Oryctolagus cuniculus: one gene and its partner. The protein of the gene in region 1 purifies or fractionates together with the protein of each later gene. This does not show direct contact. Links are inferred from orthologs where the notes say so. Each region holds a gene or a part of one and is shown in the gene's direction. Other genes may lie near its edges.

Evidence for each region.
Region 2: the proteins of P4HA2 (region 1) and COL1A1 purify together in Homo sapiens (co-immunoprecipitation; 3 studies listed by BioGRID and IntAct, counting the BioPlex papers as one, with this or other methods). This does not show direct contact. The link is inferred for Oryctolagus cuniculus from reciprocal best matches to the Homo sapiens genes P4HA2 and COL1A1.

What each region holds. Positions count from the first base shown.
Region 1 is NC_091437.1:20,767,409-20,771,309, reverse strand, and holds the start of P4HA2 (prolyl 4-hydroxylase subunit alpha-2), read left to right. Parts: upstream 1-1,312; 5' UTR 1,313-1,329; coding exon 1,330-1,411; intron 1,412-2,067; coding exon 2,068-2,164; intron 2,165-2,556; coding exon 2,557-2,708; intron 2,709-3,901. UniProt on the Homo sapiens protein: Catalyzes the post-translational formation of 4-hydroxyproline in -Xaa-Pro-Gly- sequences in collagens and other proteins.
Region 2 is NC_091448.1:26,152,065-26,155,865, reverse strand, and holds part of COL1A1 (collagen alpha-1(I) chain), read left to right. Parts: coding exon 1-16; intron 17-120; coding exon 121-174; intron 175-424; coding exon 425-523; intron 524-689; coding exon 690-743; intron 744-827; coding exon 828-926; intron 927-1,470; coding exon 1,471-1,524; intron 1,525-1,612; coding exon 1,613-1,666; intron 1,667-1,757; coding exon 1,758-1,811; intron 1,812-1,918; coding exon 1,919-1,972; intron 1,973-2,341; coding exon 2,342-2,386; intron 2,387-2,478; coding exon 2,479-2,577; intron 2,578-2,815; coding exon 2,816-2,923; intron 2,924-3,259; coding exon 3,260-3,367; intron 3,368-3,555; coding exon 3,556-3,609; intron 3,610-3,702; coding exon 3,703-3,756; intron 3,757-3,801. UniProt on the Homo sapiens protein: Type I collagen is a member of group I collagen (fibrillar forming collagen).

The sequences.
Region 1 (3,901 bases):
TGGCTTGTAAGATAATTGTCCCATGTCCCCGATCCCAAAAATGCCTAGCCTGTGACGGGCGTGCACTAGCTCTGCAGTCTTTGGCAGGGGTGTGCACACGTGGCACCTTGGCACCCTTCATTTACTCTCCCATCTTAGTGGAGGAGGAGCCTGTTTGAGGGTGACCTTGTGGTTGGCTGCTTCTGAGCCCATCCTGGCGGCTTGGGGTTTCTTCTGACGGGGTGAGAGGAGGAGCAGTGGGAGTGACCCTGTGTCCAGTGGACCATGGCAGAATGAATTCGGTGAATGGGCATTCATTAGTAACTCAGACTTGGAATTTCTGTCAGAGGAGGCTGATGTTTTTGGGAAGCTCTTGTATATCCTTCATTTTCCTTGTTTTCTCCGAGTAAATTTCCACTCGAGCACTCGAGTGGGCCTTAGCTGGGTGGAGCAGGAAGGGGCAGGGCTTACAGAGCTGGGGCTCAGATGAGTACTGGTCCTCCGGCACGTTCCGGTCTGCATAGCTGAGTTGGGAGACGAGGTCTGAAGCTCCTGTTGTGTACTTAGGTCCACTGCCAGCAGGGCCTGCCCCAGGTTGTGTCTGCTGCCTCAGAGCTGGGTCTGGAGATGTCTGGGTTCTTGAGAAGGCAGCAGCTGGCCTCTCCCCCATAGCAGCAGCCTTGCCTGAGGTTTTGTCCTTGTGCGGCTGATTCATTTTTATGTCCCGAGTGCCTAGCTCGGTGCCTGGCCCCTGTGGTTCTTCAGTAAATACTTGTGAACACATGGTGTCTGGCCAGCGAGGACAGTGCCTGCGGAGAGGCCTCACAGCAGGAAGAGTAGTGTCTGTCCAGGTGTGGTGTCCCAACTGCTCTCTCCTTGGCAGGTGCAGACTGGCAGGGGTCAGTTTTATTCCTCTTCTTGCTGACTATCTCCTGTACACCTTAGCTGGGGTTGTGTTTCCCAGAGAATGTCATGTCAAGTTCTCTTTCCATCCACAGCTTCTCATGCGTTATCCCCCCTCCTGTGGGCAGGGACTGGGTCCGTAGCACCTGGCACATATGTCAGGAGGTAAGAGAGGAACAGAGAAGCAGTCTGGAAATGAGAAGGAATGGCCAGAGTTTACAGCCTTGTGTTCTTGCCCAAATAGCTGTCATAGCTTCTGTATGCCAGGCCAGGATTGCTGTATGGATGTGTGTGTGTGTGTGTGTGTGTATGTGTGTGCCAGGCCAGGATTGCTGTATGGATGTGTGTGTGTGTGTGTGTGCGTGCCATGTGATCCGTGATGCTGTTTTTCACTATGTAAATCTAATAAATATCACTGAATGCCCTGCAGATACTGCCTCAGTGACCATGAAACCCTGGGTGTCCACGTTGCTGATGGCCTGGTTTGCTGCCCTGAGCTGTGCATGGGCTGAATTCTTCACCTCTATTGGTATGTGCCGAGAAGTTTTCATCTGCCTGAGCAGCCCTCGGCTCAAATGCCGGCGCTGGCCCTGCCTGACAGGTTTCTCACTGAGGGGGGGTTGGTGTCACCCACTGCTTGTGACCAAAGCTTCTAGAGCTGCTGTTCACGTTCCCCGCAACCCCCTCCCCCCACCCACCCTGGACAGCACCTTAGCTCCGGTTAACTTGGGTGTCCTAGGAGCTAACCGCCTAAGTTGGGCCCTCCTGCCTGGCTTGTGCAGGCTTCAGTTGGTCTCTCTGGTCTCTGACCATTTAACCTGACCTAGAGTTTCTGAGTGCACTCTCCCACCCTCCCCTCTCCCTCACCTGAAGTTTCAGAGATGCTAGCGTGTGCATGCCCAGTGACAAGCCAGCCGGCTCACGGTGGGAGAATGAGATTGGGAGTTTCTAGCTGAGTAGCTGCTAGTGCATTTATTCCCATATCCTGTCTGCCTCTCTCTGAAGGCTGGAGCCAGGACCCTGTGAGTGCCTAGGCACCCTTTAACTCAACGTTCCCATGATCCCCAGAGAGCTGAATGTCCTTGGCCCAGGGAACTCGCATCTGTGAGGGTGTTCTGTGCTCCAAGGAAGGGAGCTGTACATCTCCCATGCACATCTCATCAGCACTGCTTCTCTCCCCTGCAGGGCACATGACCGACCTGATCTATGCTGAGAAAGACCTGGTGCACGCACTGAAGGAGTACATCCTTGCGGAGGAGGCCAAACTCTCTAAGATCAAGAGGTACCGCTCGCCCGAGTCCCCACGCCCACCCTCAGTCAGCCCCTCTCCTCCCAGGGCCCCATCCAGGGTGTCTTTAAGGGAATCCCTTGAGAAGGGATGTGATGCAGTCCTGGAGGTTATTTGTGACAGAACTCCGGAGGAGCTAAACATACAGGCTAAGGGTCACATTTTTTTCTCACTTTCTAAGACCCTTTTTTTTTTTTTTGAAACTGACATTGGGATTCCTGGCTCTGTCTAGATTAAAGGGCCAGAAAGAAGTATCTGCAGGGAGCGTCTGTATTTATTTTTTACTACTTCTTGATGAGAAGGGTTCTGGATCTCCCTAGGGAAGTTTCTGCGGATCAGGACCGGGTGGATTGGAATGTTAATCCTCCTCTTCCTCTGTTCCATAGCTGGGCAAGCAAGATGGAAGCCCTTACCAGCAAGTCAGCTGCTGACCCCGAGGGCTACCTTGCCCATCCTGTGAACGCCTACAAACTGGTTAAGCGACTGAACTCAGACTGGCCTGCGCTGGAAGACCTTGTGCTGCAAGACCCAGCCACAGGTGAGGGATAGTGAGCAGGTGTTCAGGGGAGCCTGTTTGTTTGCAGGCTTGTGCCTGGGCAGCTATGTCTGAGCCTGCCTTGAGGATGTGTGTGTCGGGGGTGAGGGCAGGTAGAGTATGTGACCATGGACCCGTCAGGCCGCCGCTCTCCCCCTTCTCTGTGAAGACCTGGCAATTGCCTGTCCTTGTTTTTTCATGTTTGAAAATAATTGGTTTTCATAGTGTTTTTATTTCCCGCCTCTATTAGGTAATACCATTTTTTTCTACTTATATTTTAGTAATATATACTGTTACAGAAAATTTGGAAAACACAAAAGCAGTCAACTCAGAAAAGTAAAATTCTTTTTTTTTTAAAGATTTATTTATTTGAAAGTCAGAGAGAGAAGGAGAGGCAGAGAGAGAAAGAGAGGTCTTCCATCTGCTGGTTCACTCTGCAGTTGTCGGCATCGGCTGGAGCTGTGCCAGTCAAAGCCAGGAGCTTCTTTCGGATCTCCCACGCAAGTTCATGGGCCCAAGGACTTGGGCTGTCTTCCATTGCTTTCCCAGGCCACAGCAGAGAACTGGATTGGAAGTGGAGCAGCTGTACTTGAACCGGCGCCCATATGGGCCACCAGCACTGCAGGCGGCAGCTTTACTTGCTACGCCACAAATCTGGCCCCGAAAAGTATAATTCTTAATCTAATTGCCTATTGATAAGTGCTGTTATGATTGTAGTCTTTCTACATGTGCATATACACTTAAAAAAGGAACTATGCATATATACTAGGGGATGCAAACGTAACTGCTTTGAGGGACAAATGAATTAACAAAAATGAGTCTTTTGGGCTTGGTGATGGGGCCACAGCAAGCTGGGAGCCTACGCATCATCAGAATTCATTTGTGTTTGTATCTTTCACAAATAAACATGACATAAGCATATATTCGCATCCTGAATTTCCCAGCTTCTCCATCTGCCGTTAAATGTTCTTCAGCCACGTGACTTCACTGTTGTAGTCTCATATACTGATATCCTGTAAAGGTGCTCAAACCACTGGATATGGGATTGTTTCCAAGTTAGCAGTCTTTTACATGCTTCTTTGTGACTACCTCTGATAATATTTTAGGCTAAATTCCTAGTAGTGGTTCTTACTGGTCAGAGTGATTTTTTTTAAAGTTTTTAGCTGTGTTCGGTGCTTTACTGTGATGGGACTTTC
Region 2 (3,801 bases), on another chromosome or scaffold:
ACCCCCTGGCGAGCGTGTATGTGCCCCACCCCGTATCGTCCCCAACCCCACCACCGCCTCCTTGCCCACCCCAGTGCCTGTCTGGGTCCGTTAGCTCACGGCCTGCTCTCCCCTCTGCAGGGTGGACCTGGCAGCCGTGGCTTCCCAGGTGCAGATGGCGTGGCTGGCCCCAAGGTAACCTGTGCTCCCTCGCTGGTCACCCCCCACCCCGCCACAGGCACAAGCGCTCCTGCGCGTGAGTGCAGCTGCAGGTGTTGGTGCCTCTTTCCCTTCCACTGGGCCTCACCTCTGCTATGCCTCCCACCCCGAAGCCCACCCAAGCCAGCGCCCACAGCCTTCCTTGTGTAAGGAGGAAGAGGCGCTGGCCATGGTCGCAATGCCCGCACTCAAGCCCCTCGTTTTCCTGTGACTTTTCCCAACCCAGGGTCCCGCTGGTGAACGTGGTGCTCCTGGCCCTGCTGGCCCCAAAGGCTCTCCTGGTGAAGCTGGTCGCCCCGGTGAAGCCGGCCTGCCTGGTGCCAAGGTGGGCCCCCAGCTCTGCCGCCCAACTTGGCCAGGCACCCCCTGGCCTGTTGGGGCATGGGTCTGGGATGAGGCTTTCTGGAGCAGGCCATGGGTCTGCTCCTGGGGCTACCCCCCACCATCCCCTTCTCCCCCTACTCACACTTCTGTTTTTCCCCCACACCCAGGGTCTCACTGGAAGCCCTGGCAGCCCTGGTCCTGATGGCAAAACTGGCCCCCCTGTAAGTATCCCTCCCCGTGAGCCCTCTCCCACCTTCCCGTCTGCCACCCCTGTCCCCATCTGACTTTGTGCCTCCCATCTTCAGGGTCCCGCTGGTCAAGACGGTCGCCCCGGACCCCCAGGCCCCCCTGGTGCCCGTGGTCAGGCTGGTGTGATGGGATTCCCTGGACCCAAAGGTGCCGCTGTGAGTATTGAGTAGGGAGCAACTCGGGGCTTGGGACAAGCACGCCTGGCCGGTGAGAGTCCCAGGCTCTGGCCCAGCCCTGCTGCTGACTTGCTGTGTGGCCTCACACTGCTCACTGCCCCTTCCTGGGCCTTGAGCACCTTATCAGTAAAATAAAGGACTTCCGGCTTCCCAGCCATTGCTCTGTGCCTGGAACTAAGTTTTGTGGGTGCCCCCGGCCCCACTCCCCAAATCTTGGAGGGTTTATTGAGGTTCAAAGAAGGCACCAATGGAGGAGAAACCCTTGGCAGCTGAGGCCACAGTGCGCACGGAGCAGGGGGAAGGGAGGAGGGAGGGTGGAGGGAGCAGGGCTTGCAAGGCCTCTGTGATTGTGGGGAGGGGCTGAGGGCCTCAGGCCTAAACTGCATGTGCACAGCCAACAGCCACCCGACTTTGGAGAAGGAGGTCCCTTTTAGAAACTCCTCCTCAGAGCAAGTAGGAGGCACCTGTGGGGCCTTCCGGTCTCCCTTCAGCCTCCTCAGCCTGCCCGCCCTTTCCTCCCCAGGGAGAGCCCGGCAAAGCTGGAGAGAGAGGCGTTCCTGGACCCCCTGGCGCTGTGGTAAGCAGCCCCTTCCTACCCCGCGCCCCTTCCTCCAGCTGCCCACTGGGCCTGCCACCCTGAGCACTCCCTTCCTGCCTCCCCACAGGGTCCTGCTGGCAAAGACGGAGAAGCTGGAGCTCAGGGACCCCCTGGACCTGCTGTAAGTGGCCCTGCCTGGGAGGCCTGAGGCGGCGCCCCCTGTCCCCTGCCCCGTCCGCCTTTCTGTGACCACAGCTGTCTCTCTGTGACAGGGCCCCGCTGGAGAGAGAGGTGAACAAGGCCCTGCTGGCTCCCCTGGATTCCAGGTGAGGCGGCAGTCAGGGAGCTGGGGGCTGGAGAAGGCGGGGACACCACTTTGTCCTCTCCAGATTCTGAAGCCCCTCCTCTTTCTCCCCCCACTGCTCACTTGCAGGGTCTCCCTGGCCCCGCTGGTCCTCCTGGGGAAGCAGGCAAACCTGGCGAACAGGTAAGAGGGAGCCGTTGGCCGAAAGGGTGTGTGGGCAAGGAAGGGAATGCAGAGGGCCAGGCACCTGCTGCAAGCTATTCAGACACTGTTGGGATGAAGGTTAGACACGGGGAGGGACTTCCTCGGAAAGGGAAACAGGAAGTGTCACGATGTGACCTGGGGTTGCAGAGCTGCCCGTCTGGGTGACTTTGAGGAGCTATAGGACGCTGTGGCTCCCCCTCCCCCTGGCCTGGGGAGGACAGCTCTCAGTGCAGAGTCGGAAGGAGTGGAAGGGCTGCGGGGCTGATTGTGCAAGGGCCAGCCCCAGAAGCAGGGACAAGAATCCATCCTGTGCCTAGGGCTCACTCTTTGGTCTTCCCTCTCCTTCAGGGTGTTCCTGGAGACCTTGGTGCCCCCGGCCCCTCTGGAGCACGAGTAAGTAGACGCTGTGCCCCTGCTCCCAGCCAGATGCCCTGTGGCTGTCTCTGAGCCTGGAGCAGCCGTCACGCCCTGACTTTCCCTTCTAGGGCGAGAGAGGCTTCCCTGGTGAGCGTGGCGTGCAAGGTCCTCCTGGTCCCGCTGGCCCCCGCGGATCCAACGGTGCTCCTGGCAACGATGGTGCTAAGGTGAGGGCAGCCCAGGGAGCAGAGCTCACCCCTCCTGTGGCAGGAGCATGATGGCCAGGGAGATGCTGGGGGAGCAGGTGGGGGGCTCCCAGGCAGCCCGAAGTCAGGGTTGTGAATCTTCCTTCTTCACCCAGGCCCAAGCCTGGGTGATTCCAAGAGGAAGCCCAGGACTGTGAGCCACTTCCGGGACCACCACCTCCACCCTGGCCTCATTGCAGTCTTCTTGGTTGTCACACAGGGTGATGCTGGTGCCCCTGGAGCTCCCGGTAGCCAAGGCGCCCCTGGCCTTCAGGGAATGCCCGGTGAACGTGGTGCAGCTGGTCTTCCAGGCCCCAAGGGTGACAGAGTAAGTACAGGAGCCCCCTCCAGCTCTCTCCCTGCTTTGGATCCTTCAGTGTCTTTCCATGGCTCCCTGGGACACTTCTCTCTTCTCCTTCCTCCTCCCTTCTCTGTCTTCTCCACTGTGGTCCAGGCCCTTCTCTCTAGGAGTTACCATGGTGATGAGAGGTGGAGCCAGCTCCTTGATGGAGCCCTCTATGCAAGACAGAGGCCTCTTAGCCTAGGTGTCAGCCGGCTCTCCGAGCAGGCACCTCTTCACCTGAAAATCCTTGGAACGGGGAAGATGAGACACAAGCAGGACACTTGCCACCCCTGGAAGTCTCAGGTCTCTCTTTGTCTTTAGGGCGATGCTGGTCCCAAAGGTGCTGATGGCTCTCCTGGCAAAGATGGCGTTCGCGGCCTGACTGGCCCCATTGGTCCTCCTGGCCCTGCTGGTGCCCCTGGTGACAAGGTAAGGTGGCTGCCTGCCTACACACAGCTTCTCCAGCGAGCTCTGCATTGGAGACGGGTCTGCCATATTGAGCTGGCGACCCAGGAAGCTGGAGGGACCAGAAGCGGGGGAGGCCGTTCTGGGGTCATCTGTCAGGAGTAAGTCAAGGTGGGCCCCCTGACCCTGAGCCTCTTGTCCTTCCCTCTCAGGGTGAAACTGGTCCCAGCGGCCCTGCTGGTCCCACTGGAGCTCGTGGTGCCCCTGTAAGTACAGAAGGCCTGGCCGATGCCCCCTCTGCTCCCTCCATCCTGCACCTGTTATCGTGGCATCTCTCCAATCTGCCTCTTTCCTTTTAGGGAGACCGTGGTGAGCCTGGTCCCCCCGGCCCTGCTGGCTTCGCCGGCCCCCCTGTGAGTACCAAGAGCCCATTCCTTCACAGTGAGTGACTGGATAAG